Linked DNA regions of Ovis aries. The protein of the gene in region 2 interacts with the protein of the main gene of each other region in a pairwise test. Links are inferred from orthologs where the notes say so. Each region holds a gene or a part of one and is shown on either strand. Other genes may lie near its edges. The genes, in order: ACCS and FBF1.

Evidence for each region.
Region 1: the proteins of FBF1 (region 2) and ACCS interact in a two-hybrid assay, tested with the Homo sapiens proteins (2 studies listed by BioGRID and IntAct). The two-hybrid records come from large-scale screens. The link is inferred for Ovis aries from reciprocal best matches to the Homo sapiens genes FBF1 and ACCS.

The regions. Positions count from the first base shown.
Region 1 is NC_056068.1:73,086,959-73,091,253, reverse strand, and holds the start of ACCS (1-aminocyclopropane-1-carboxylate synthase-like protein 1), read right to left. Parts: upstream 2,869-4,295; 5' UTR 2,621-2,868; intron 2,531-2,620; exon of another isoform or gene 2,508-2,530; intron 1,831-2,507; exon of another isoform or gene 1,808-1,830; intron 1,314-1,807; coding exon 1,023-1,313; intron 1-1,022. UniProt on the Homo sapiens protein: Does not catalyze the synthesis of 1-aminocyclopropane-1-carboxylate but is capable of catalyzing the deamination of L-vinylglycine.
Region 2 is NC_056064.1:55,040,010-55,044,359, reverse strand, and holds the start of FBF1 (fas-binding factor 1), read right to left. Parts: upstream 2,887-4,350; 5' UTR 2,765-2,886; intron 2,370-2,764; exon of another isoform or gene 2,304-2,369; intron 2,019-2,303; exon of another isoform or gene 1,878-2,018; intron 1,788-1,877; exon of another isoform or gene 1,784-1,787; 5' UTR 1,706-1,783; coding exon 1,703-1,705; intron 652-1,702; coding exon 624-651; intron 22-623; coding exon 1-21. UniProt on the Homo sapiens protein: Keratin-binding protein required for epithelial cell polarization. Involved in apical junction complex (AJC) assembly via its interaction with PARD3. Required for ciliogenesis.

The DNA.
Region 1 (4,295 bases), on a different chromosome or scaffold from region 2:
AGTTTTTATATATTAATATAGTATTAATATATTATATATAATATAGTATTATATAATATGCAATATATTATATATTATATAATATATAATATATTATGTAATATGTAATATATTATATGTAATATATTATATAATATATAGTAATAAATTATTAATGTGCAATAAGTTATTATATTAATATATATGACTATATATGATATTATATACTATACATAATATATTGTAATAATATATATTAGATTTAATATATAATCATAATATATCATATATATTATAATTATAATATATATTACACTATTACTACAATAACTAATAATTACTAGTAATAATTTATAATAATAAATCACAATATTATAATAATTATAACAATTATAATAAAGTATAAGAATTATGATATAATATATTTATAATATTTTTACTATATTATATGTATTTAATATAATAATTAGTAATTAAAATATATTTATAATTGTATTATTATAATATTTAGTAATTGTGTTATTATAATAATACATTTATGATAATAGCAACTGCCGCTTATTGAATGCTCTATGTGAAGCACTGTGCTAATAATTTATATACCTGATAACATTTAGTTTTGACAGTACAGAATATAACAGGTATTATTACCCCAATATAAAGATGAACTGAAGTTCAAAGACTTTAAGTAGTTAGCTCAAGAATATACAACTTGAAAGCGCAACCCTTTCAGCCTGAACCCTAGTTCTGTCCCAGCTCTAAAGGTGAATAGTTGGGCTGTGGACCAGAAGCCATATAAGAGCACTCCCTGGTTATTGAATTCCTCCCCCACAAATCAAGTTTCCCTTAATTATAAGAGGGCCATTTTCTGATTCAGGTAGTATATTGGGACCTCTCTAAGCAACACTGGAAACCCCACTGGAAGTCAGAAGTCCATGACTCCAACGTGACAAGAGCAAGCTGGGTGCTGCCTTATCTTTCAAGGTAGGGTGCCCTCCCCTAGTTCTCTCCTGGGTCCCAGTGGGGCAGGGGGCATCACGCACACTGGGGTTTTTGTCCTCATCGTATTCATCCATGTGGTAGGTCCTGTAGCCCTCCTCCGCTGAATCCCAGAACCATTTAATGACGCTTCCTCTAGAGGACAGGTAGGGGCTGCTGGAGGGGAGCACGGCAGCAGGGTCACCCACTCCGTAGAACTTCAGCGGCTTCTGGTCGGGTTTTCTGGAGCATTCTCTTTCCAGACCATCTCCCTTGTTACTGGGTAGGCCCTGTATGGAGTCTGAATCTGGACAAGCACTAGTCATCCTGGATTCCTTCTGAGGGAGGGTGAACATCTGCAGAAAAACAAAAGCATTCAATCTCTGATCTGATCAAGGACCTTCCATAGCACCAAGCATCAAAAATGAACTGTTAGGGGTGCGGGGGGCTTCCCTGGAGGTCCAGCAGTGAAGACTTCACTTTCCAAAGCAGGGAGGTGAGGGTTCAATATCTGGTTGGGGGGTGCCTAAGATTCCACATGCCTTGTGGTTTAAGAAACCAAAATTAAAATTAATAATAACAATATAACAAGTTCAATAAAGACTTAAAAAGTGGTCCACATCAAATACAAAAAATCTTTTAAAAAATGAACTGTGAGGCATGGGGCCCTCCCCCTTCTCTGTCTCCCCTTCCTTTAAGTTTATACAGTTATCACTTCCTGTGTCCCCTGCTAGTTGTGACCGTGTGTGCATTTGCTTCAAGGCATCAACCCTACTAAAGATTTACAGACAGAGGGTTTATTTGCTACTGTATACAACTTTAACTAATGGCCACTTCCGCTTGCTTTTACTTTTGGAGAAGTCTTTGATTCTGCAGGCTAAAGTGTCACCAGCTTCTTTTTTCCCGTCTTGCTGACCTCAATTTAAAAAAAAATTTTTTTCTGACTTAGAGCAGAAAGGGCCTGGAGTCCACGGGTCTTGCGGTGACTGATGTTGATGACTTGGAGCAGACAATGCATGAGGCCTGAGAGGAGGGAAATGGGGGTCTCTGCAAGTGCAGGGACCCGGGGCAGCACCTAGAATTCCATCTTCACTCCCAAAGTGGGGCAGTTCTGGCCTCAGGGAGAGGCTGGTCTGATCCTGTGCTCTGATGTGAACTCCACTTTCTAAGCCAGTGTCCTCTTGGGCAAAGTGGGTGTAACAGTAACTATTTCATACGGTAGCCCTGGTGAGGACAGAAAAATATGAGTTAGTGTAAATGGCTTAGAACAATCCTGACTCATGGCCGAAGTTCAGTAAATTATATTTATATTTACTGTTATTATAAAACTCCCTGCCAATTTCCCTAGTCCTGATGCCCAAGCCTCACAATACCCGATGCTCAGAAACGCACGGGGGCTGCCGGGTTAAATTTTGCTCCATGAAGTCATTTCTAGGTCCTCCCCCAACTGACTGGGCCTCCTGAGCCTTAACTCGGATCACCACCCCCTACTCCGCCTTAATCCGCCTCCCCGCAGCCTTGGACGGGAGAGTTCAGAGCCGGACACCCACGTGGCCGGCCTCGGAGATCCGCGAGATGGCGGCCAGGCGGGTGGCAGAGAGCAAGGCCCCTGCAGGCGGCGAGCCCCCGAAGGGCCCCCTGCTCTGCAAAGCGGGGATCGCACCTCCTCGGCAGAGCTGAAGGCGCCGGCACCCAAGGCTCCGGGGACGCGTCCACCGCGGCTGAGCGGGGCGCATCCAGGCCCAGGCACCCGCACTCGGGCCCGTCTGCGCAGGGGGCGCACGAGGGGCCGCACCGCGGGGCTGGGCCCCCCCAGAGCCTCTCTCCCCGAGACCGGCTCCCACCTTTGGCCGCCCAAGCCGGAGGGAAAGCCAGGGAAGGGGAGGCGGCCCGCGGCCTGAGCCGATACAGGAAGGGGCGGGCGCCCGCTGCCACCGCGGCGCTCTACGGCCTCGGCGCGCTGACCGCCTTCCCGACCAGGTCTCCCCGCCCCACAAACGCAGGCGCCTTCCTCTGCCTCCAGGCCTTAGCTTCCCCATTTTAAGGCAGTTACCAGGGTTACTGGGCAAATATATGCCTGGTTGGGGCCTATGGAAAAGCCTTTAGGATTAAGGCGTGCGCATCCTTAAAACATCCTTCTGCTGAGAGAGCTTTTGACCCGAGTTTGTCATTTCTCCTCCTCCTTGCGTACTACAGAACGCTTGTTGAACTCCACCTTAGACCTACACATTCTGAGACTTTGGAAAAGAACTAGACCACCCAGGACCTGGGCCTACACAGAGCCTTAGAGTAAAATTCTCCTTTTCCCCTGGGGAAAAAAAAAACTAGCAGGATCCGTCAATACAGTATATGTGTGTCTGTGTATATATATACATATATACACAGACACACATATATGGTAAGTGCATTATTTATATATTATGTATGTAATAATATATATCAGACACGACTGAAGCAACTTAGCATACATATATATGTATATATGTCTACATACATATATACACACATATATATACATGTATATATAGTAATATCTAGAGCAAACAGTTTTTAAAAAGTCGAAAGTGTTTGCTAAATACATTATAGAGTTGGACACAACTGAGTGACAGAACTGAAGAAATCACAAGGAAAAGTAGAAAACTGAATGATCATAAAAACTCAAGTTATCAAAATTTATGGGATGTTGCTAGAGCAATGCTTGGAGAGAAATCAATAACTTTAAAAAACTTTAGGTCTAGTCTTCCCTATTAAAAAGCTAGAAAAACAACAAATTGAACCCAAAGTTTAAAAAAGGAAATAAAAAGTAGAAATGAAACAGAAGAGAAACATATTGGGGGGGAGGGAATCAATGAAACAAAAAGTTAGGTCTTTGGAAAATATTAATTGATAAACATTTAAATTAACTGATCAAAAAATTCATTTCAATATAAGGAAAGAAAATTATAACACAATATCCTTCATGAAAATAGATGTAAAATTTTTAACATCAAAGCCAAATCCGACGATATATAAAAAGATGATGCATCATGACTCTACGGGGCTATTGCAGGACTATAATGTTTTTTAATCAATATAATTTCATCACATTAATAACTAAAAGAATATTATCTCTAAAAGTACAGGCAAAAACATCTGGTAAAAACTGAACACACATTTATGGTAAAACTTTCAGCAAACTAGGAACTGAAGGAAATTCTTCTATCTGGTAAAGGCAGTATGAAGAATATTTCTAGTAACATTACACTTATGAGAGACCAAACGCGATCCTGTTAAGATTGCGAACAAGGCAAGAATGTTCTTACTTTTTAATTCAACTGTGTACTTGAGGTTCTCGGCCA
Region 2 (4,350 bases):
CAAGGACATCATCGATGGAGTCTGGAACAGGAAAGGGGCCACCGTGACTTCAGGAGGAAAGAAAGGTCCTTTAGGGCCTCATGGCTTGAGACCTCATCCAGGATACTCCACCTGGATATTTCTGGATACAGAGCCCAATAAAAAGGATTTTTCCCTGAGTCCCATCTGTTGTTTATTTCTGAATTACTCCAAGGGCCAGCAAGGCAGCATAGGGGGTTCCCTAGGAAAGCACAAGCTGCCTTTGGGATTACAGGGACAATAGCAAGACTCACACCAAGGGACTTCCCTAGTGGCCCAGTGGCTAAGACTCCATGCTCCCAAGAGAGGGGGCCTGGATTCAGTCCCTGGTTAGGGAACTAGTGACTGCATGCTCAGTCGTGTCTGATTTTTTGAGACCCCATGGACTTTGTTGCCCGCCAGGCTCCTCTGTCCATAGGTTTTTCCAGGGTACTAGATCCTACAACTAAAGATCCCAAGTGCCAAAACTAAGACTTGGCACAAATAAATATTAAAAAAAAAAAAAGATATTCACTGAGAACATTCAGGCAGACATTTCTAAGTCATGTGGACCCAAGGCAGGGGAATTATTTTTGGCTTATGGGTGATGTTTCATCCCCACTTACCTTTCAATCTTTTCTTGGTTTTGGGTGCCTAAAAAGGGAAAAACAAATCCCATGAACAAGAGCAGACAGTGAATGTGTACTAAAACCCAGAATGCAGAATGAACTGTTTTGCCTTTTGCAAAGATGGGGACAAGGAACACCAGTGGCATTTGGGGACAGACGCCCTTTATGGTTTTCTTAGAGTTTCTCGGAATAGACGCATTCAGAGCATGAAAAGGGCCACCCCCAACCAGCAGTGGATGCCACACTGGGTGCCATCTGGTGGGCGGAAGTTTCTCCTTTCCCCCAGATTTCCAGATGCCACATACAACCCCTCCCAGGATGTAACGTTTTCCTCTAATCCATCTCCCTGACTGTTCAGTATCAGTGACAGATACGTATAAATGCTTTCCAGATGGATATTCAGAGGCTCAAAAGAGATGCTCGCTTACTGTTTAATAAGAAGTTGCTTTTTTTCTTTTATGCCGTGCTACACAGCTTGCTGGACCAGGGATTGAACCCATGCCCCCTGCATTGGGAAGCACAGAGTCTTAACCACTGGACCTGCCAGAGAAGTCCCATTAATAAGTTTGATATCCATGCTCCTAATCATCACTCTTCTTTGGGGCCACCCAGTCCCCAAAGTACTTCATGCAGTTAAGCTCTTGGAGGTGGAGGCAGGAGGGAGGGTAGACTCCCATTTCCACACACCTGCTCTGATTCTGTGCTGTTGGAGAAGACTCTTAAGAGTCCCTTGGACAGCAAGGAGACCCAACCAGTCCATCCTAAAGGAAATCAGTCCTGAATACTCATTGGAAGGACTGATGCTGAAGCTGAAACTCCAATTCTTTGGCCACCTGATGCGAAGAGCTGACTCATTTGAAAAGACCCTGATGCTGGGGAAAATTGAAGGCAGGAGGAGAAGGGGATGACAGGAGATGAGATGGTTGGATGGCATCACTGACTCAATGGACAGTGAGTTTGAGTAAGCTTTGGGAATTGGTGATGGACAGGGAAGCCTGGTGTGCTGCAGTCCATGGGGTCGCAAGGAGTTGGACATGACTGAGCAACTGAACTAAACTGCTCTGCATTCTGCTTACCATCTCAAGGCTCTGGGGGGCTGCTTCTAGGTCCTTCACAGTGCTCTCCAGCTCACTGGAATTCTGCCTGTCAGGCTCATCCTCCCTAATGAAGAAAATTAAAGTGTCTGCTCACAAACAATTTGGCTTTAACAGTGCTTGAGTCGAAGATTGATAAAGCCTTCTCTCACTTTACCCGTTCAAGAGGTCAAAACCTATTTCCGTCAGTTAAAAATTTCTTATGGTGGGTGATTCAGATGAGAGGCAAAGTGTTCTGGGTAACTTTTCGAGGCTTGGAGATTATTTGAAAAAAGTGCAGTGGTCCTCATTCCTTATTCTGAAAGAGGATACAGAAAATGGCAGGTCCCCATCTTAGAAAAGAGGTGGGGGTCTGGCACTGCGGTCTATACACCTTTCCAGGCAACACTCAGGACTACTTTCCCAGCAGCAATCAGCACACAGAACGGAAGTGAAAGCTGGTTACTCCTTGATAGTATTTTCACTATCGTTGGAAAATTTCCCCCTTTAACTGTAAATCCAACTCACTCCATTAGTGGTGAACTGTTTTCACCAGAATTATCATTCTTTTCCGCCCCCTCCTCAAAAAGTTCCGCACACTGACCTTTGGCACGGCTTGGAAGAAAGTAATAGGAGGTGGGCGGCTCTAGTTGCCAGGTGCCAGCCTGTCCTGTTATTAGAATGCAAAGTTAATGTGGGGTTACTGCACAGGGGCCACCCTGAATGCTTGAGTTTCTCCTCTGTAATGGCAGTGTTCACGACCCAACGTGTTTTGTCTCCCATCACATCTAGGAGCGTCTCCCATTTCCCAGTGATCCTGTCCCAGCCTCGCAGGCCGTGGGAATTTCTAAGGGAGGCTGCAAAGGGCCTCAGGACCACAAGGACCATCGCATCGTTGTGCACAGCCAACTCCGTGCCAGGCGTTTTAAGATCCCTTAGCTAGGGCCCTCCTGGTGTCACCCCCTCGGTCCTCGCGCCCAGCCCATCTCGATCCCGAGTGCAGCCTATGATCCTTCCAGCCCTTGAAATCCTCCCCACGCTCCCTGGCCCCCGCGCCCCGGTTACGTGCCATTCCCTTCGGAGGCGCAGCCACTGGGACGTGTCCCAGACATAGCTGCCGCTCCAGGATCCACTCCAGCCCGGTTCAGTCAGGCCTCCAGCTTCGGAGCGCTACGGACGCCAATCTCTCGGTCGCCCGGCCTCCGGAAGAAAGGAGAGGCGCGAAGCATCCTGGGGGTTGTAGTCCTAAACCCCCTCACCTGCTAGAGCCAAGGGCCTCTGGGGCGCTGGAATGAACCACACTTCCCAGGGTGCCCCTCCGCGGCCGTTAGTCGGCGCACCATGTCCAGTTAGCCGCTGGGCGCGTTGCTAGGAGCTGCCTCAACGCCCCTTTGCTAAGCGGGCGGTACGTGGGTTCCGAGGCCAGTGAGCTTCTTCCTTCAGGTTTTCTGCAGAACTACCACTACCTGGGCTCCAAAGTGAAGTGAAGTGAAAGTCGCTCAGTTGTGTCCGACTCTTTGCGACCCCATGGACTGTGAATTCTCCAGGCCGGAATATTTGAGTGGGTAGCCTTTCCCTTCTCCCGGCGATCTTCCCAAACCAGGGATTGAACCTAGGTCTCCCGCATTGCCGGAGACGGCAATGGCACCCCACTCCAGCACTCTTGCCTGGAAAATCCCATGGACGGAGGAGCCTGGTAGGCTGCAGTCCATGGGGTCGCTAAGAGTCGGACACGACTGAGCGACTTCACTTTCACTTTTCATTTTCATGCATTGGAGAAGGAAATGGCAAGCCACTCCAGTGTTCTTGCCTGGAGAATCCCAGGGACAGGGGAACCTGGTGGGCTGCCGTCTCTGGGTCGCAGAGTCGGACACGACTGAAGCGACTTAGCAGCAGCAGCAGCTCTCGCATTGCGGGCGGATTCTTTATCAGCTGAGCCACAAGGAAAGCCCACCTAGGCTCCAAACATTTAAAGTTCTTCCAGGAACTTCCTGGTGGCCCAGTATTAAACTCCGCGCTTCCACAGCAGGGAGCACAGGTTTGATCCCTGCTCTAGGAAGTAAGATCCTACATGCTCCACAGGTACAGCCGGAAAAAAAAAAAAAAAAAGAGTTCTTTCAGCATTCTTTTGAGGGCTCACTGGTGGAAAGGGGGAGGGCGTGAGAAACGTGTGAAGAGTGGAAAACTGATGGGCCGTGAAACCATAAAGACTAGGAAAGTGGCTGTGACCTTCAATTATGAAAGCCAAAGCTGTTAAGCCAGGATGAAACCCAACACCATCACCTAATAAAGACAGTAACACTTTTTGTGTTGATTACAGAGTTTATTAAGGGTTTTTAAATTTTACAAAGGAAGATGGGGTTAGTGGTTTAGCTTATTCGAAGGTTGGTGGGTCACCACTATCTAACCGTGACTCAGTCTTTGGACCTGTGCACCTCCTCCAGTACTCCCACCTTCACTGACATGTTCTGCCAGGCATGCGGAACAATACATGCTAAATACACTTCATCAGGTAGGAACCAAACTCAAACCACGACAGTTAAAGGGGTAAGAAGGTAGCAAATTATATGCGCCAAAGTAATTTCCTTGAATTCATAGCAACTGGAAATGTTTACAAACAAGCAGTCATCAGTTGGAATATTATGCAGAAG